2 linked regions of the Pelodiscus sinensis genome follow. Each later gene encodes a partner of the first gene's protein in a complex. Links are inferred from orthologs where the notes say so. Each region holds a gene or a part of one and is shown on either strand. Other genes may lie near its edges.

Region 1 (10,196 bases):
TATGCCTTTGTAGACATTTTGTATGTGTGAAACTGATTGTCCTTGCATAAGTGGAGTACTTTGTATTTGTCCTTATTGAACTTCATTCTAATTACCTCAGACAATTTCTCTTGTTTGTCCAGATCACTTTTAATTATAACCCTATCCTCCAAAGCTCTTGCAAACCCTCCCAACTTGGTATAATCCACAAACTTTATAAGTGTACTTTCTATGACATCTACATCGTTGAAGATGATATTGAATAGAACTAGTCCCAAAACTGATCCCTGTGGAACCCCACTTGTTATACCCTTCCAGAATGACTGTAAACCATTGATAATTACTCTGTGAGAACTGTTATCCAAACAGTTGTGCACCCACCTTACAGCAGCCCCATCCATGTTGTATTTCCCTAGTTTATTGATAAGAAGATCATGCAAGACTGTATCAAATGCCTTACTAAAGTCTAAGTATACAATGTCTACAACTTCCCCTTATCCACAAGGCTTGTTATCCTATCAAAGAAAGCTATCAGGTTAATTAGATATGATTTGGTCTTTACAAATCCATACTGACTGTTGCTTATATCACCTAATTATCTTCCAGCTGTTTGCAGATGGATTCCTTAATTATTTGCTCCATTATCTTTCCTGGCACAGAAGTTAAACTGGCTGGTCAATAGTTTCCTGGGTTGTCTTTATTTCCCTTTTTATAGATTAGCACTATATTTGTCCTTTTTCCAGTCTTCTGGAATCTCTCCCATCTTCCATGACTTTTCAACAATGATAGCTAATGGCTCAGTTTATATGGTTGTTCAAGTGTGTATGGTTTCTATTCTTCATACAGTACATAGGTAGAGAAATACCAGTCCATTTTGGTCAATTTCATGATCATAGAATTTTTTAAAATTGTCAATTTCATGATTTCAGCTATTTATAATTGAAATTTCACAGTGTAGTAATTGTACGAGTCATAACCAAGAAAAAGAGTTGTGTGTGTGTCAGCCGACGGGGAGATGTTGCAAGTGGATCATAGTTCTGCTACCATTCTGCACTGCTGCTGTTGAAAGCACTGCCTTCAGAGCTGATCAGCTGGAGCATGGCACTTGCTGGCTGGGAGCCCAGCAGTGAATGCAGAGCTGCCACCAGTGGCAATGTAGAAGTAAGGATGGGATGGGATCATACTGCCACCTTTACTTCAGCAGCCACCACTCTCTAGCCACTTAATTCCAAAGTCAGCGCAGAAGTGTGGGTGGGAATATTGTGATCTGCCCCTAAAATAAAATGCCCCTGCTTCTCCCTTCTGGATCAGAACTCCCAATTTGAGAAATACTGATCTCCCCTCATTAAATCTGTATAACAGAGGGTAATAGCACACAACACTTGATTTCATGGGAAAGACCAGGTTTCATGGTCTGTGATGTTTTTTTCTATGGCAGTAAATTTGGTAGGGCCCTATACATAGGCAGTCCTATCTTTTCCTATTATAGCTTTCCTCTTAACTGTTTTTAGTTCATAATACTGAACCAGCTTTGCAAAACATGTGCAGCTTCCTGACCTTCTTACCCCTGGTCTACTCCTCTTTCAGAGTGGTAAACGTAGTGTACTCCTCCATGAACTGGCTTCCCTGAAGGATTCCATTAAGGTTCCCCATCCAGAAGTGCTAGAAGCCAAGCCAAGTTCTCCATTAGAGATCTATCCCTAAGAGCACTATATGCTGGGACCTCAAACATTGAAGGGTTCCAGAGCCTCCTCATCCTCATCACTGAATGCAGCAGTGGCTGATACCTGTACCACCATACTCCTGGTGATGGACAATAGGGTACACCAAGACCTTCTCAGAAGAGTGAGCCAAAATGTACACCTCCAAGTGGTGGACATGACATAACAGAAGACTCAGACCTGATGGTGGACATTCTTGCTCCAGAAGGTCTTTCCAGGGTAGACTTGACTCATGTAAAGCCTATTCAAACCACCACAAAGGGGCTATGGCAGACCCCAGCCTCCATATTGCCCATAGCTAATGGGGCAGAGAAGAAGTATTTCATGCCACAGAAAGATTACAAACATCTTTTCATGCCCCCTCAGCAGGGGCCCTTTGTCATTGATGTGGCAAAGCACAAAGAGGTCTTTATTGTACATGTTCCCACCCTTTCCACTAATACCCTTTCCACTAATTTAAAATGATCTGGACAAATTGGAAAATTGGTCTGAGGTAAACAGGATGAAGTTTAATAAAGACAAATGTAAAGTGCTCCACTTAGGAAGGAACAATCAGTTTTACACATACAGAATGTGAAGCGACTGTCTAGGAAGGAGTACGGAAGAAAGGAATCTAGGGGTTATAGTGGACCACAAGCTGAATATGAGTCAGCAGTGTGATGCTGTTGCAAAAAAAAGCAAACATGATTCTGGGTTGTTGTGAGCAAGACACGAAAAGTCATTCTTCTGCTCTATTCTGCGCTGGTTAGGCCTCAGTTGGAGTATTGTGTCCAGTTCTGGGCACTGCATTTCAAGAAAGATGTGGAGAAATTGGAGAGGGTCCAAAGAAGAACAACAAAAATGATTAAAGGTCTAGAGAACATGACCTATGAAGGATGGCTGAAAGAATTGGGTTTGTTTAGTTTAGAAAAGAGAAGATTAAGGGGGGACATGATAGCCGTTTTCAGGTATCTAAAAGGGTGCCATAAGGAGGAGGGAGAAAACTTGTTCATCTTGGCCTCTGAGGATAGAACAAGAAGCAATGGGCTTAAACTGCAGCAAGGGAGGTTTACGTTGGACATTAGGAAAAAGTTCCTGTCAGAGTAGTTAAACACTGGAATAAATTGTCCAGGGAGGTTGTGGAATCCCCATCTCTGGAGATATTTAAGGGTAGGTTAGATAAATATATATCAGGGATGGTCTAGTCAGTATTTGGTCCTGCCATGGGGGCAGGGGACTGGACTCGATGACCTCTCGAGGTCCCTTCCAGTCCTAGTGTTCTATGATTCTATGATACACAAGATCCTCCTCAAATCCAGCAGAACAAGGCTTCAGTCATCCTTATAGCACCAGCGGGGCCAAAGCAGCACTAGTTCCCCAGGCTGCTGAACCTGTCAGTTTCTCCACCTCATGGCATGGAAACTCCATGGCTGAACCAGATTGAGCTGCGGTGTTCAGACTTGGTTAGGGAAGTTTTACTGGGAAGCACAAAACCCTCCTGTTAGCAAAGGCACACTAACAGAATAGAATTTATTAAATATAGGGCCTGATCTGGAATGGTGATATAATGCTTTTGTCTCAGAAGAGGGTTCGTCCTGGAACCTGCCATATCTAATCACCGGTCGATTTTACAGATTCCAATAAACACAGACTCACTTTCAAATTTAACAGAAATATATATATTGTAAAAACACAACAGGTGAAACACTATAGTCAATAACAATGAATCAATACTGAACAACTCTTCTATCAGAGTCTTCCAGCAAGAAGGAACTGACCAGATGACACATTGGCACAAACCTATATGTACCACAATAAGGGCACCACTCTAGGGAGTTCCACAGCCAATCCGATGGGTATCAGTAGGGAAAACCTTCTGATGATTATACATTCAGCATGCAATAACACACACACCTTGGAATGGACATGAGCAACATATCTCGAAGAACAACCATTACAAGCAATAGGCAACCAATTTTTTTTATGTCAATAGTTGGGGAATCTGAGTCCAATAAAGATAATTTTGTAAAATGTTTCCTAGAGAATGATTTCTTTTAAGATGTTAATTTTTTTGCTTTGGCAGGTTTCAGTTGTAACTTGCTACCTCTGTAATTTAACAATAAAAGATAATAAACACTTTGAATGCTTACAAGTTTAGCTTTCTTGCCAAACTGCATGAAAAGATTGCTTTTCCTATATGCCATTTCAGAAGGTGTTATTAATCACTTATACCTCACAACAGTGTTGTTTCTAAACCTACAGTACAAGCAGAGCTAACATGTAAGGGCAAGATCAGCACAATCCTATTATTAAAAAAGGGTAATGAGAGTAGCAATTCAGATGCTTTAGTAGCACTGGGAGCACTGTGAAAAAGGATGCTACCTTAGCAATACCTTATCAACCAATCCACTTTCCATTTTGAAGACTGCAAAATTTTACAACCCATTTGGAGTGTTTTAAAAAAGATATCCCCTAATTCACAAAAATAACCTCATTGTTTGTTATATGTTTGACTATCATGCATCATGCATCTAAAATAATAATCCTATATCTTTCTACAGTGCCTTTCATTTGAGAATCTCAAAGCATTTGACTTATCAGTTTGCGTTCACTGTGTATTTAAGATGGTGGTATTTCTATTTGGAATTTTTGGCCTTGATTCTTTCAGTTTATTTCTGCACATAGAATTTCTGCATGTTTGCAATACCAAGCCCTGAATCTGGGCTTTGCCAGCAGAGAGGTGCCATGAGGCTGGGAGAATCAGACACTGGAGGGTCCCTCAGCATAAGAGGGTTTACTCTAGTGGCATAGGATCCAAAAATGCCCTTCTTTGCAGACCAATGCATACATATTCAGGATGAAGAGAGGGAGTGTCAATGGTAGGAGGAGTCATGATTGGAGCATACTGAAACCCAGCTATTTAAGGCTGTTGCAAAAGTGAACATTAAAACAATCTGGCACTGCTCTAATTTATGCCAGGAACTAAATTCAGGTGGCTCCATAACCCAGGATATGCTAAGACAAACCAGGACTGGGAGAGCAGCTGGCACAGAAACACTCTATTATCCTCTTGCTGGCTGCAAATTTCCCCTGTGGCCATTTCTGCCTAATGTAAGGCACCTTTCTTTCTATGTGCTGCTGGAGTGGCAACAAAGGGCACATGAGAACTGGGCCCTTTGGTTTATATTTGATTAGATGCCTATTGATAGGTGTATATTTATTCAATAATGATGCCTAATGTTGCCCTGTAAATTAGTGAGAACAATCATAGGAGGTGAATGTGGGCACAGAGAGATGAAGTAATTGTCCAGGGTCACAGCAAGCAAGAATCTCAAGAGTATTCCTGACTCTCACAGCTGACAATTTTCTAAGATAGGAACAAACATGGTGCACAGTGGTAAGTTATCCAGCACCTCAGAATGCTGCAGGATGCTCTGTTAAAACCCTGCCCCAGAACTAAATCACCCTTTGGAGTCCCAAGCCCAAGGCATTAAACCCTGCTTGTGGGCAGGGACGCTGGTGAAGGTGCTGAGAGCCATTGAACCACACTGTAAGCCCTGGATATAATGGGAACCACTTAAAGCGAGGGGGTGCCACAGCACACCCCGCACCCTTCATGCCAGTACCTAAGCCCTCCCCCATCTGTCCACAGCACCACTTCCCCTCCTTCAGACACTGCCCTCCTCGCCAGAGGTCTGACAGCCAGCTCCTGCGCTGACAACCAATAGCAGCTCTCCGTGGGCGAGCCCCGCTCGCTCGCCTGAAGGCCCGCCCCGCCCTGCCTCTCCCAAGAGAAGGCTCCTCCCCTCTCCCCCACGAGGGGCCGCCCAGGTTTCAGGCCAGCTGGCACATGCGCAGAAGCGCAGTAAACAGACGGACTCGCTCCTCCCCCTTACGGCTTTTGCGCGTCGAGCCTGGGGTACAGCGACTGAGCGGCTGCGCCTGCGCCGTGGGGGCACATCCGGGCACTGGGGCAGGATGAATGCTCCTTTCCAAGATGGCGGCGGAGGGAGGAGGGAAGGAGATGAACGAGATTAAGACCCAGTTCACTACCCGGGAGGGGCTGTACAAGCTGCTGAGCCACTCGGAGTACAGCCGGCCCAACCGGGTGCCCTTCAACTCCCAGGGCTCTAACCCGGTCCGCGTCTCCTTCGTCAACGTCAACGACCAGAGCGGCAACGGCGACCGGCTCTGCTTCAATGTGGGCCGGGAGCTCTACTTCTACATCTACAAGGGGGTCCGCAAGGTACCGGGGCAGCCGCGGGGCGGGAGAGGCCAGGGGCCAGAGCTGCTCGGAGCACGGGGGGCGTGCCGGGGGGACCTGCTTGGTTGCAGTGTGGGCCGGGAAGCTACCTGCGAGGGCCGGGGGAGCCGGACGCCAGGCCAGCGAGCGGGCTTTGCACCCTTCTGCGGGGGTGGAGGGTGCCCACACGGTTGTGGGGCCTTCCCAAGCGGAGGCGCTTTGTGGCCGAGAACTGTGCCTGCTCGCAGAACAAGGGGTTGTGCATGGTGCCGGGCTGTGGGGAACAGGATTTCAGGCCTCAGGTAGAGGTGTGAGGGGAGATCCCTGAAAGGGACTAGTGTTGGGGGCTACTTAAAGGCCATATGACTGGAAAGGGACTTCTTGGGTCGTGGAGTGCAGACCCTTGCTGTGGCTGGCAACCGTGTCCTGTAATCCCAGAAATACATTTAAAAACTAGTTTAATTTTTAACTCACCGGCTAAAGTATGTTCCTTGTATAGTCCCTTCTTTGGCTGGAGGCAGTAGGTTCGGTAATGTAACCGGCTATTATAGGCTGAAGACTATAGGACACTCTCTGCAGGGTGTATGGTATTAGCACGGGGCTGCCAAATCTCTCTTAGGGTGGGGTTTTAGTTTTATTTTGGTCAGGAAGAAATATTTCACATTCAAAATGAAAAATTAGAGGTCTGATGTTTTAAATGACCATCTCTAGATAGGCCTAGTGGAGTGAACTGAGTACTTTAAAGGCTGAGATTTGATAATTCTAATTATGACATATTATAAAAGCTTTCTTTGTGAGAGAAGTACTAATTCCAAATATGGCTCCCAACCTGTGAATATTTGATGATGCAGGTCTAATAGTTGGCAAACAATCCCCATTTAAATATATGTAATTGCTGTCTTGACTGCTTGGTACTATGTGATTCCTTCTGATAATTTGCATCACCAACTGAGCAAGTGTCATGTTTAATATATATAAATATAAACATAACTAATCTGGAAGGTCTATTGAGATGTTATCTATTTATCTTGGGTACATATGAACCCTCTCTTCCAATTACTACAATATGTGAGCATCTTAAACTATATCCTTTAAAGTGTATATCCTTTTAACAGTTCTGAAATGAAAGGAAGAATTATTATTCCCACTTTAGAAATGGGGTTTGAGGCATAAAGAGATTTAGTGATTCACCCAAGGTCACATTGGAAGTTTGTAGGATAGCAAGTTATTAAACCTGGGTTTACGGAGTTCCAGGTGAGTGCTCAAACCCACTCTTTCTTGCTTGGTAATGCATGTAAAATGTAAGCACTACCTAACTGCAGAGTCTAGTAAGGATCAGTTGGTAATGTCTAACAACTGAAAAGGCACAACTTGAGGAGTTTAGTTGTATGAAACAAGTGCATATGCACACTTGAGTTGACATTTACATTATTTAACTTAATATGTTACGAGTCTTGATAATTTGGGGATGGCTTAAGTAATTGTGAATTAAATTTAAATACTGATTTGATATTTAAGTTCCTAGAGTGGTTGATATTGAACAGTTATTTGCCCATTCTTATGAACAAATGTCTTTAAAGCAGAAGTATTATAGTCCATATAGTGGCCTTTCTACATGAGTCAGTGAGGATATTTCATATGGTTAAAATCTGTCCATCTTCTAACCCCCTTGTGACAGCTACGAGTCTATTATTTTGTACTTAGTTTTCAGTATAGAATAATTGCAAACTTCTGCTACTGTTTTATTTAGAGCAGCTCTACATGTGACTCTTACCAAAATCTTTTTTAGTCATTTATCTCACTTAAAGAAAAGTCTAGAAGCTGAAAATGTGCCATAAAAACAGGGAGCTGAGCAATTTTACAGTTTCTGAGTATTTATCTGCATTCTTCTAATAGTTTTCAATATCTTTGGTAAAACAGTATTTATCTTTGTATTTGGGGTATAATAATAATTGAAACTGTACCTATTTGCTGGATGTCTGAGAGTTTTGTGGCATATTATAAACTCTTCAGATAATATAGTAAAATATACTAGCTGTTTAGAACAGAATTTGTTAGAGTTGGTCAAAGAAATGTTACCAGTAAGACCTTCAGGACAGATACTTGGATTATTGTTTACATTATGAATGTATTTGGAAATATCAATGAACTTGAAATCATTATGATCTCTTCTGCAGATTGGGGCCCATTCCTTTGGTTTTGTGTAGAAAATTGATATTAGCATAGGGAAGAGAAGATTCTCAGCTGACAATTACAGCTGTTGGAATGATTAACATAATTTTCATAAAGAAAAGGGCCATTTGTTACAAAACTTGCTACTGCTTCTTTCTGTGGTATATAAGGAGAGAAAGAAGAGCTCAATGGTAAATTAAATTAGAAATGTAAAACACTCTTAAAATAAATATGTATAAACTGCTGTAAACTTCACTTACAGCATGGTTCTAAAGTTGTCTAGATTAGAGAAAATTTAGTCAATACTAGTTACCCAAGACTGATTAAACTTGGGTACTTAACCTGTGTTTATGCTGGGAAAATGTTAAACTCAATTTTAGCAGCTGCTTCTGGTGAACAATGTAAGTCTGAATTTACACTTGGAAGTGAGGTGTAGGATTTTTTGGGTATAGTTTAGTGTGTAGTATATACTAGGATGTAATAATGTAGTTGATTAACTGATCAGCAGAAGCTTATAGATTAATGCTAGACTATACTCATTCCCTCATCCCCACAGTAATTTTTTTAACAGGCTGGCCAGCAGCCTGACTCATGCTGGGTGCAGGGCCTACCCCAACTGTGGCTCTGCATTTAAAGTGTATTAGGAGCAGCCTGGCTCAGTTCCAGTTTGTGCTGGGCCTGGGAGCTCAGACACCCTCTTCCCTCTACACACAGACAGGGGCTACTTTATCAGAGGCAGCAGCACAAGGTGACAAGCAGCTGGTCCACAAGAGGAGCTGGTTTTTAAACTGGCTTCACTTGTGCAGGAGCTCCTGCCTGGAACCCTGTGCTGCTGTCTGCTCTGCCCCCAGGGACTATAGAATAGTCCGCTAACAGATAAGAATTGATGAGGTTATTCAATTAACCATACTCAACATTCCTAATATATACATATGACTTGAATGATCAGGAGAAATAAAGTTTAGTTTAAACCAGTGATTATAATTATAGCTCAGGTATGTTAACTAAAGCAAATTGAAGTTTGCATTTTAAAGTTGCAGTATAACTTAGGTTAAAAATAATGTTTTAATTTTATCACCTCTTCATACCTGTTAAGCAGTCTTTAAAAAGGCCTTGTTCATTAGTTTCTGCTCATGTTTCTGTTGAGGTTAGGGAAGGAATTGCTGGTGTCTTCAGAAGTAGCAGGGTTCATTCCTCAGGTTTAGGTAACTGCTTGCAATTGGATCTTTTCCAATTAAATAACTTAAATTAACCATGGTACATACTAAATAAAACTGTGAAAGAACTAGTGCATGTGTAGTGCATGTGCAGTGCGGGTCTCGCGCATGTGCAGTGCGGGGCTGGCGAGTAGTTTTTGCCACGATCGTCGAGCCCTGCCAATAAGGATGTTAGCATGTGTCCATGTACACAATTAACTGCGGAGTCTGGGCTCATTGGTTAATCATAACTGATATATGCAGCCTTCCTCCCCACCCATGCTTTCTGCCTCTGTATCAGAGGCAGTGTGGGAGAGGTGGGAGCCGGTGCTCAGGGGAGCCAGCTTTTAAGATGACTCTCTATGCATGCTGGCTCCCACAGAGTGGGCTCCTCTTACCCACCTCCCACAGAGGCAGCAGCATGGTGGCAGGGGGAGTGGTGGTAGAAGGGAACCAGCTTAAAAGCCAGCTCTCCATAAGCACCGGCTCCCACAGAGCCGACTCCCTCTTTCTCCCCCCCCCACTGCTTCTCTATCAGAGGCAGCAGGGTGGGCGCAAGCAGGAGCCACCTTTAAAGCTCCTGCCTGCCCTCCTGTGTGCAAACATGTAAAAATGTCAGCAGTTACATGTTTACACAAACAATTTTTAACATCCCTAGTTACAATGCTCCTTCAGAAATGTAGAATAGCATTTTGCTTCGCCTTCAGAAATGAAAACTGTGATTACAATGAGTTATTCACCTTAAACACCTCTAAAGAGGTACAAACTAGGGTTGTTAAATTTAATCAACTAATCGACTAGTTGATAGATTTTCCATCAACTAGTCGATAAGCGGGGGAGCTGCAGTGGAGCTCTTAATACATTTAAAAGGCTAAAGTGCAGCTGGAGGGACCCAGCACAAGCTGG
Region 2 (10,357 bases), on another chromosome or scaffold:
ATTTCCCGGGCTTCATTAGCATAAGCGGGGAGCCGCCATTTTTAAATCCCCGCTGCTTCGAACCCCGTGTAGCGCGGCTACACGGGGCTCGAACTAGGTAGTTCGGACTAGGGTCCTATTCCGAACTACCGGTACTCCTCGTGAAACGAGGTGTACCGGTAGTTCGGAATAGGCACCCTAGTCCGAACTACCTAGTTCGAGCCCCGTGTAGCCGCGCTACACGGGGTTCGAAGCAGCGGGGATTTAAAAATGGCGGCTCCCCGCTTATGCTAATGAAGCCCGGGAAATTCAAATCCCGGGCTTCATTAGCAAGTGCGGTATGCATACATTACCCCGCTAGTTCGAACTAGCGGGGTAGTGTAGACATACCCTCAGTCTCTCCTCAAAGGTCATGCGCTCCAGCCCCCTAATCATTTTGGTCGCCCTCCGCTGGACCCTCTCCAATGCGTCCACATCCTTTCTATAGTGGGGGGCCCAGAATTGTACACAATAGTCCAGATGTGGCCTCACCAGAGCAAAATAAAGGGGAATAATCACTTCTCTGGATCTGCTGGCAATGCTCCTCTTAATGCAACCTAATATTCCATTAGCCTTCTTGGCTACAACGGCACACTGTTTACTCATATACAGCTTCTCATCCACTGTAATCCCCAGGTCCTTTTCTACAGAACTGTTACTTAGCCATTCAGTCCCCAGCCTGTAACAATGCTTGGGATTCTTCCATCCCAAGTGCAGGACTCTACTCTTGTCCTTGTTGAACCTCATCAGATTTCTTTTGACTCAATCCTCTAATCTGTCCAGGTCACTCTGGACCCTATCTCTGCCCTCCAGCGTATCTACCTCTCTCCCTATCTTAATGTCATCTGTGAACTTGCTGAGGGTGCAATCCATCCCCTCATCCAGGTCATTAATAAAGATATTGAACAAAACCAGTCCTAGAACAGATCTTTGGGGCACTCCGCTAGAAACCATCTGCCAACCTGACTGAGCCGTTGATGACTACCCATTGGATCCAACAGTCTAGCCAGCTTTCTATCCATCTTACAGTCCACTTATCCAATCCATAGTCCCTTAACTTGCTGGCAAGAATATTGTGGGAGACCCTATCAAAAGCTTTGCTAAAGTCAAGGCATGTCACATCCACTGACTTTCCCATATCCACAGAGCCAGTTACCTCATCATAGAAGCTAATCAGATTGGTCTGGCAGAACTTGCCCTTCTTGAATCCATGTTGACTATTCCTGATCACTTTCCCCTCTTCCAAGTGCTTCAAAATGGATTCCTTGAGGATCCCCTCCATGATTTTTCCAGGGACTGAGGTAAGGCTGACCGGTCAGTAGTTCCCTGGATTATCCTTCTTCCCTTTTTTAAAGATGGGCACTACATTTGCCTTTTTGAAATCATCCAGGATCTCTCCCGATCTTCAAAGATAATGGCCAAAGTCTCCGCAATGACATTTGCCAACTCCCTCAGTACCCTCAGATGCATTAAATCTGGGGCCGTGGATTTGTGTATGTTTAGCTTTTCTAAATAGTTCCTAACTTGTTCTTTCCCCACCAAGGGCTGTCCACCTCCTTCCCATACTGCGTTGCCTAGTGCATTTGTCGGGGAGCTGTCCTTGTCCGTGAAGACAGAGGCAAAGAAAGCATTGAGTATTTCAGCTTTTCCCACATCATCTATCACTAGGTTACCTCCCTCATCCAGTAAGGGCCCCACGCCTTCTCTGATTACCCTCTTATTGCTAACATGCCTGTAGAAACCTGTCTTGTTGCCCTTCACATCCCTGGTTAAGAAAGTTCCAACCTGTAGTTTCTATTTTTAAAGATGTTTCACTCTATCTGGGCTGTGTAGTTGTGGCAATCAGTAATTTATTTGCACTGGCTGTGTCTACATTGGCATCCCTTTCCGGAAAAGGGATGTTAATGAGACACTTCGGAATTGCAAATCCGCGGGGGATTTAAATATCCCCCGCGGCATTTGCATTTACATGGCTGCCGCTTTTTTCCGGCTCGGGGTTTTTGCCGGAGAAAAGCGCCAGTGTAGACACGATTCTCCGGAAAATAAGCCCTTTTCCGGAGGATCCCTTATTCAAGGATATTTCCTACTTGAATAAGGGATCCTCCGGAAAAGGGCTTATTTTTCGGAGAATCGCGTCTACACTGGCGCTTTTCTCCGGCAAAAACCCCGAGCCGGAAAAAAGCGGCAGCCATGTAAATGCAAATGCCGCGGGGGATATTTGCAATTCCGAAGTGTCTCATTAGCATCCCTTTTCCGGAAAGGGATGCCAATGTAGACACAGCCACTGTGTGTGCAATGTCCTGCCCCACAGAAACTGCACAGACACTACTGATTGTGAATTCACAGTGCCACTTATTTGAGTCCTCTCCACAAACACTATTTAATCCCCATACAACAGTCTATTTAAAATAGCCTCTGTGCTTTTGACCCTCACATCAGGATCTGTGATAAGTAGAGATCTCTCTTCCCTGAGGTTTCTGTGGGTACGTCTACACTTGCTCCCTAGTTCGGACTAGGGATGCAAATGTAGACAAGTGAAGTAGCTAATGAAGCTGGTATTTAAATATCCCGCGCTCCGTTAGCATGATCTCGCTGGTGCACTAGTTCGAATCACAGCTGATTCGAACCAGGAAGTGCGCGCCAGGACGTGTTAGTTCGAACCAAAGCCCTTGGTTCGAACTAACATTACTCCTAATTTTTTAACGTTACTCAAAAAAATGAGGAGTAATGTTAGTTTGAACCAAGGGCTTTGGTTCGAACTAACGCGTCCCGGTGCGCACTTCCTGGTTCGAATCAGCTGTGATTCGAACTAGTGCACCGGCAAGATCATGCTAATGGAGCACGGGATATTTAAATCCCGGCTTCATTAGCTACTTCACTCGTCTGCATTTGCATCCCTAGTCCGAACTAGGGAGCAAGTGTAGATGTACCCATATATGAGATCAGCTAGACCTGTTCCTCTCACCCAGAACTGCCTTCTCATGTCTCTTTACTGAGGGACTGGCCTAACTGGCTCTGTCTCACCCTGCTTTCAAACCTATATAACTACTTCAGTCTGCTGGCAGAGGAGAGAGAGTGAGGGTTGGAGGAGAAAGGCATGGACAAAGGAGAGAGAGCCTGCCAGGGATCTAGGGCTGCTCAAATGGCTGTAATTAGCTGGTATGTATTAGAACTTTACTCCAGCTGCTCTAATGAGAATTGGAGGCTAACTCAGGCCTCAGTGGCTCTTGGAGTGAGATGTGGGGTGCAGAAAGGTACATCTATTTCTCCTCTACCTCCCTTAATTGTGCCAAGCAGAGCTAGTGCAATTGAAAATCCTTAAATCAAAGTTTAATGAAATTCACGATGAGGGGCCAAATTATTCAGTAGCATAACAACACAAAATCAATGGAATTACATTTAAGATTACTTGTTTCAGTGTTTGTGACATCATTTTATCAGGTTAAGTTAGTGTTTGTGGAAGGAGATGGCCTGAAAGCACAGTGCTGGCCCTTTATCCACGGAGTGGAGATTACAAGTGTAGGTTGCCTCACTCTACCTTGTCTCCACAATAACCCAATCCTTGGCCTTGGCTAAGGCTGCCAATTTGTGCTAATTTTGATGGTGACATTTGTAGTGTGGCACCTATCCACTAGGAACTGGACTGAGGCCAGCAACTTATTTTACTTTGATCACCTACTGGCATTCTGATAGTAAGATTTCATCTTTCAGTCACAGTTGACTGGTGTCAGATTTTAATTAGTGATCTAAGGCCTGATTTTGCTGTTTGCACTCACTACTCTGGAAAAACTCCTTTTGCTTTCAGGGTGTTTTGCCTAAACAAGGTCTGCAAGGTTCAAGCCTCTGCAGACTGAAAGTGCCAGTATCAAGATGCAGGCAAAAAGGCATCTAAGTTCAAATTTGCTATACTTAATTTCCTGGGTATTGATCGTTTGTTTGTTTATTGAGAATCAGTGCATAGAGAATAATGTCTTCACAGCACAATTGTTTGCAGAGTATAGTTTCTTTTTAAAAGTTCTCTTTTTCATTTGAACCACTCCTTGGACAGACAGGTGGGAGTTTCTGGTGATAGTGTTTACAATGTGTGTTAGGACAATCAGAGTTAAAGTCTAAGATGTGGTGCCTGTATAACTGAATTGTATTCTTGCTTCTCCTACAGACTTGCTATGTGGACCTAGGCAAGTTATTTAACATTCTTTACCTGTTATCTCATCTGCAAAGTTGTTATACCAGTGCTAATTTCCCTTGCTGAGTGTTGTGAGGCTTAATTTATTGATGTTTGTAAAATGATCTTAGATCCTTGGATAGAATGTGCTAGAAAGCATGTGAGCCATTTATATACATGAATGTGTGCACACCTGCATACTCATTAAATTATCAAATTTGTAAAGCTAAATGTTACATATAGTACAATGATTGTGCAATTATCATTGTACAGCTATACATCACAAACTATATTGCTCCCACAGCCTTCAAAACAATAGCAAATAATAGATATTTCACACACAAATGTCTGTAGACTGTATAGTTCTGTGGCCCTTATAGGTCAGCTAAGAAGTATTTCTCTTTAGCACACATCACAAACAACTCAGCTCAAGCTGCAAATAAATCTAATCCAGTGGTTCTCAAGCTGTGGGCTGAGACAAGGAAGTAGGGTCACAACCCTTAATGAGGTCACCAGAGCTGGCTCACACTATCCGGGGGCTCCAGCCAGGCCAAAAGACCAAGCCTCACTGCCTGCGACCCAAGCCAAACTCCAAGGTCTTCAGACTCAAGTTACAGGCCCTCTGCCTGAGCTGAAGAACTTGGGCTTCTGCTTTGGTCCCTGCACTGGGAAAGGCTTGGCTCTGCCACCTAGGGCAGCTGGGCTCAGGCTTCAGTCTCCACCCTCGGGGGTCCTGCAATAATTGTTATTGTCAAAAGGCGGTCTGGTGCCATGAAGTTTGAGAGCGCCTGATCTAAACAAAGGCCTCTTCCCCGGCCCACACGGCTCAGCAGATCTGAGGAAGTGGGTCTGGCCCACGAAAGCTCATCATCTAATAAACCATCTTGTTAGTCTTTAAAGTGCTACATCGTCCTGCATTTTGCTTCAGATCCACCCTGTGCTTTTCGGTTGTCACAGCACCAATGCACATGGGGATTGGGGCGCCCTTCCTGGGGCTCCCAGCCTGAGCCCTTCACCCCTCTGAAACCAGCGGGGGCTTCGCTTGGTGCGTGCCAGAGCTAAGGGATCTGATTGGGCCCGAGCGCGGCCCCGGCCCATCTGCCTGCTGAGGGCAGCACGGCCGGTCCCGCGGCCCCTCCGCACACCACCAGCCGGGTAAACAGCAGCCGAGCAGGGAGCGTGACCCGTCGCCTTCCCCTCCCATGCACCGCATTGGCTGCCGCGTCAGCCGCCTCGGCGGGGCCTGCGCTGCGGGTTGGTGCCGCTGCATGCCACTTACCAGCGCTGCCCTGCCCTTCCCCGGCGCTGTCAAAGTTGATCACCGGGCGCTGCGCTGCAATGGAGCGGAGAGCGGGGAGAGCGGCCGCCAGGGAAGGCGGAGGAAGGGGGAGATTAACACGGCCCCGGCTGGCACAGAGGCGCGGCTGATCTCCCCATGCACTAAGGGGGAGCGAGCGGCGGGAGGGGGAGGGCCGCTGCTAGCGCCGCACGGTGAAATCTGCGGGTCAGCCCTTCGCAGGAGCAGCCGGCGGCGGCTCTAGGGCTGCGAGAATCCAGGCGCTTTCTGCTAGTTGTCTCTCTGCTCGGGGAGAAGCGGGGTGGTGTTAGAGGCTGTTTTACCCCCTTCCGCCTGCTTCCCTCCCAGCGTAACCTCGGACCCTCCTCCTCTCCCCCTCCCCGCGATCTTCCGACCATGAGCGTTTCTCTTTTCACCTTCTAAAGATGGCGGTGTGGGATCACTGCAACCTTTAGACTAATGACTGTCAGAAACATCGCCTCCATCTGTAATATGGTAAGTATTCGCTGACCTGCATGCTGGCTTCAGGGGAGGGGGACACAAGCCAACAACACCCACTGCTGCCAGATCAGAATGGGGGGGAGGGAAGGGAAAGGAAGAGGGGAGCCTCCTCTCCAGGTGCACTGGAGAGTAAAGTTAGGGTTATCCTTATTCCTGTTTAATCCCCTCGCTGGAGGCTGCTGAGATCTGGAAGTGGGTGAACTAAAAGACCCATGTGAAGATAAACATGAGATGTAATTCAAAACACTGTAGGCAGTGGTCTGAGGAGCTTAATCTACTGTCTCCTTGCACTGCATATAGGGATATTCTGTCTCCCCAAAGAAGGGGGAGATCAGCTGTCCAACCATCTACTCCTTCCCCCAGCATATAGGAGAGCAATGGACAGCCTAGGCTAGTGAGTGGGCCACATGAGTGGCCCTCCTTCGTTTCAGTGGGCCACAAGATTGTCGTAACAAGACAGCCTCCCAGGATAGGGTAGTTTTGCTAACTACATAGAACTTGTGGGGTGTGCCTAGTGAACCGTAGCAGCACTTTGATTGGATGCAGAGGGAGCACATGGCTCTTACAGTCAATGTTGTATGTAATCAGCAGGCTCTGGCTTTACATGCGTGTCACTTTAGTAATAGTGGTAGGGAAAAAAAACCCTATGTGGATGGAAACCAGAGGAATCTGGCAACCCTCTGCATGGGCAATGGTAAACAAAATGTCTTGTGGGCCACACAAAGACTACAGCTACACTGTAGCCTTCTTACGGAAAGCCTTATGCAAATGAAGCATGGCATGGAATATCACTGTACTTCATTTGCATAATTAATTATCAGCTGTTATTGCGCAAGAGCCTTTTGCGCAAGAAGGAGCTGTGTAGATGGCTCCTTTTTGTGCAAAAAACTCCTCTTGTGGAAGAGCTGTTCTTCCTGAAAAAGCTCCTTTTTGTGCAAAAGCCTCTTGCATAACAGCAGCTGCTAATTAATTATGCAAATAAAGCACGGTGATATTCCATGCTGTGCTTCATTTGCATAAGCTTTTCCTCAAGAAGGCTACAGTGTAGCCGTAGCCATACAACCCCAGTGGGCTCCATGTGGTCCATGGGCCACCACTTATCTAGGTATAAGGTATGGGAAAGAGTTTAGTACAGTGGAGGATCTCATCCTTTGTATTGTAGTATTTACACAAGCTGGCAAGTTTGCAGCTTATGGTTCCAATTAAACATTTGAGCCAATATTTCTAAAATTGAGTTCCTAAAAGTAGGTTCCTGACTCCATACTGGGGACCTAAATACAAGGCCTGATTTTAAAAATGTTGCTGAGCATCCAAAAGGTCCCACTAAAGCCAACAGAAGCTTTATGTGCTCAGCAGTTTTGAAAATCAGGCCTAGTTTATGCCTGTGGACTTAGGAGCGTACATTTAAGTACTCGTTTTTGAAAATGGCTGCAGGATCAGAATCTGTGTTGATTTTATATACCAATAGGGATTAGGGATATAAAAGGTTAACCGATTACCTGGTTAACCAGTAAGCATCACCCTAAATGGGCTATGGTTAACCAGTAACCAGGGGTTGGGAACAGCTTTCCTCCTACTGTGGGTAGGGTCTGCTCCAGCCCCACCGGGGACCCACCACAGAGAGGGGTTACTCTCGTCTAGAGCAGCCTCTGTCCATGGGGAGCCTGGATGCCACGCAGGTAAGGGTTGTTTCCCTGGGAGTCAACAGCAGCCCCAGGAACCAGCCCCAGCACAGGGCTGGGCATGGGAGTCCTGCAGGCACCAATCCTGCTTAGTCAGTTAACTGGTTAAACATTAGGTCAACCTAATGTTTAACTGGTTAACTGATTAACCGGAATTTTACATCCCTAAAGGATTGCAGGGGACATAAAGTAAATAAGAACTGACTTTGGCCCAAGATGTTGTTTCGAATATATTTTTGAAACATTTAACTTTCCCCACCCAATGATAGTATAAAGATTAGAAAAATAAATTAGAAACATGAATGTTGCATTTCAGTTTGTGTTGGGTCTTCCTGTCATATCCTCTTGTGGCAGAAAGCAGCAAGGTTTCTTTACACATTTGAATATGGTTTTCGTTTTGATTCTACAGACTTTGGGGTTTAATTACCCCAAAGTCTATAGAGTCAAAATGAAAACCATATTAGACCACATCGCCTTTGGATTTTTAAGATTTGTTTCGTGATAGTTTAAGGACTCAGATTTTAATAGACCTGCAAAAGAAAGCAATTTATGGGATAGATTATAAATGCCCCAAATAAATAATATAACATATTTCAGCACCCTTTGTTGTTGTAGTTTATATTTTTCCCACCTTGTTTTCAGGTCCTGCAAGAACAGTTACATGCAGTCGCCAGCTTCCTCCCATGTGGTGCTCCACCATACCCTTTGCTGGTGATGTCACACCCACCATTCATCAGCACTGGAGAATGGAGACTGCCTATAGGGTAAGGCAGTGGTTCTCAACCTGTGACTCATGACTCCCTTAGGGGTCACCAGCAGTTGTTCAGAGGAGTGAGGGGTTGTGAGCCTGCTCCCATTCATGTCTCCAGTTTTATGCTGAAGTCAGTTTGATAAGTCACTTGCAACCAGTCAGTTTCAAGTGCTAGGAACATCCCCTCCCCTACTTATTCTAAGGCCCTTATTGCCACTTTCAACACACCACCTTTTCTGAGGTGCTTTACAGGAGGATTGAATTTAGGGATAACATTATGAAAAAAGGTTGAGAATCCCCAGAACAAGATAATTTGGGTTCTTGCCTTCCCTCCCCGATGTGGTTTCCTAAAGTTTTCATTGTTCTAATTTTTTTAACCCTGTGGAATAGAAGGCAAATATACTGCAAAGAAATATATAGCAAGCCATACAGTATTTGGGGAGAAAACCTGGAGTTACTTATCTTACTCTGTAGGCAGGCTTCAGTTTTCAGTGTTTGATGAATGGTGGGTGTGATCACACCTAGACTGCATGCTACAGCACCGCATGAAATAAAGCTGGAGATTGTTAGAGGGTCACAAGAGTTTAACATTGGCATGAATCTTATGTTTCTACCCTAACCTACTCAGATTCTTTTAGAGTGATGCATTTGTGCTTTCCCCAAGGTCTAGAAGAACCACAGAACAAAACCAATTAGGTTTTCATTAGTTTTACTCTGCTATTGATTCTCTTACCCACCACTGGTAGGCAGCTGCATAAGTAACATCTTACGAATGTAGGACTACAGAGGGGAATCAGATCTAAACAGGAAAGGGATGCAAGGACAGAAAAAGGGGATGGTCTAGTGAAGCCTGATGTTCAGGACCAGTTGGTTTCTTGCACCCTTTGCTTGGGGTGGCAACAATACTTTATTTCTCTAACAATGACTTTCAGGTGAATGAAGAAGCTCTATCAGTGGACTCCAGAGGAAGCTATGTAAAGCCTATATAGGAGGACTGCTGCAGTGCACGTCCTTTTGCAGGTGAAGGCAAGTGGATCATAAAGTCTTCCCGCAAAGAGGGGCAAGAGAAGCAAGAAATAGGGAGGAGAGAGACTGGCACAAATAAAATGGGGAAAGGGAGAAGACAAGAACAAAATGCATAACATCCAAAGAGGGGAAAAGGCACTTAGAGTGGGGTTGGAGAAGGGTGAATGGAAATTGGTTGAAGTCAACCCTAGAGATCTATTAGTATAAATTCCAGCCAGGAATATTAATGCCCAGATCTTAATCCTAGACCATATCTCAGTGCTTGACACTAACTAGCACGGTTCTTCTTTGACCTAAAAATTAACCAGTTAAATGAGAAATATATTTGGAGTTTATTTCTTAATTAAAAGGAATTTAAAAAACTCACTCTGTTCTTTTCCCTTTCCCTTTCTAGTTCTCCTTCCATTTCAAAGTGTATGTATGGAACGATCATTCCCTGACAAAAAATAACAAAAACAAAAACCCTTCCCCTTTCTTGGCTGGTGTTTGTTCACCTATGCTTCCATAAATGTTTCTTATTTAGGTATTGAATGTAATAACAAATTATAGGTTTTGGATTGTAATGTTTGATTGATCAAGGATTTGGAAACTTTTATGTACTGGTCTCTAGATTTAATGAATGATATGAGAATTAACAGGGTGAAATTGGCTGGATCTAACTGGGTTAGAGTAGTAAGAAGAATACTTGTTGTGTTTTAATTGACTGCCTGAGGGTAATATATGTCAAATTGTAAGTCTGATCTCCTGGTTATGGTGAGGCTTTGACCTCTTCTAGGAAAGCCAGAACAGGTGTACAGAAACAAGTGTGTGGAGGAGAATATGTTAACATGTTTGAAAAAAATATCAAAATCTAGTATTACATATTCAATAGAGGATGCTTCATTTATTAAGCCCAGAGCCAAAGAGTTGGCAACACT

The links. Proteins that work in one complex are often made in the same cells at the same time.
Region 2: the proteins of WDR20 (region 1) and USP46 are in contact, whole or in part, in a crystal structure (PDB 6JLQ), measured with the Homo sapiens proteins. The link is inferred for Pelodiscus sinensis from reciprocal best matches to the Homo sapiens genes WDR20 and USP46. Residues at the interface, in NP_653175.2 of Homo sapiens: Asn41, Ser42, Gly44, Arg151, Lys259, Tyr261, Phe262, Gly263, Glu282, Asp283, Asp284, Leu285, His301, Lys304, Ser305, Trp306, Gln374, Asp375, Thr376, Leu509, Arg516, Met517, His533, Glu534, Arg535; in NP_073743.2 of Homo sapiens: Asn205, Thr206, Ser207, Thr209, His210, Arg213, Arg273, Val275, Phe276, Pro277, Glu279, Leu280, Arg281, Phe283, Asp293, Met295, Gln338, Glu342, Tyr344, Thr347, Ser348.

Annotation. Positions count from the first base shown.
Region 1 is NC_134714.1:22,292,895-22,303,090, reverse strand, and holds the start of WDR20 (WD repeat-containing protein 20), read left to right. Parts: upstream 1-5,625; 5' UTR 5,626-5,661; coding exon 5,662-5,925; intron 5,926-10,196. UniProt on the Homo sapiens protein: Regulator of deubiquitinating complexes. Activates deubiquitinating activity of complexes containing USP12. Anchors at the base of the ubiquitin-contacting loop of USP12 and remotely modulates the catalytic center of the enzyme.
Region 2 is NC_134715.1:86,481,917-86,492,273, forward strand, and holds the start of USP46 (ubiquitin carboxyl-terminal hydrolase 46), read left to right. Parts: upstream 1-5,496; 5' UTR 5,497-5,939; coding exon of another isoform or gene 5,940-5,975; intron 5,976-8,305; 5' UTR 8,306-8,346; coding exon 8,347-8,427; intron 8,428-10,357. UniProt on the Homo sapiens protein: Deubiquitinating enzyme that plays a role in behavior, possibly by regulating GABA action. May act by mediating the deubiquitination of GAD1/GAD67.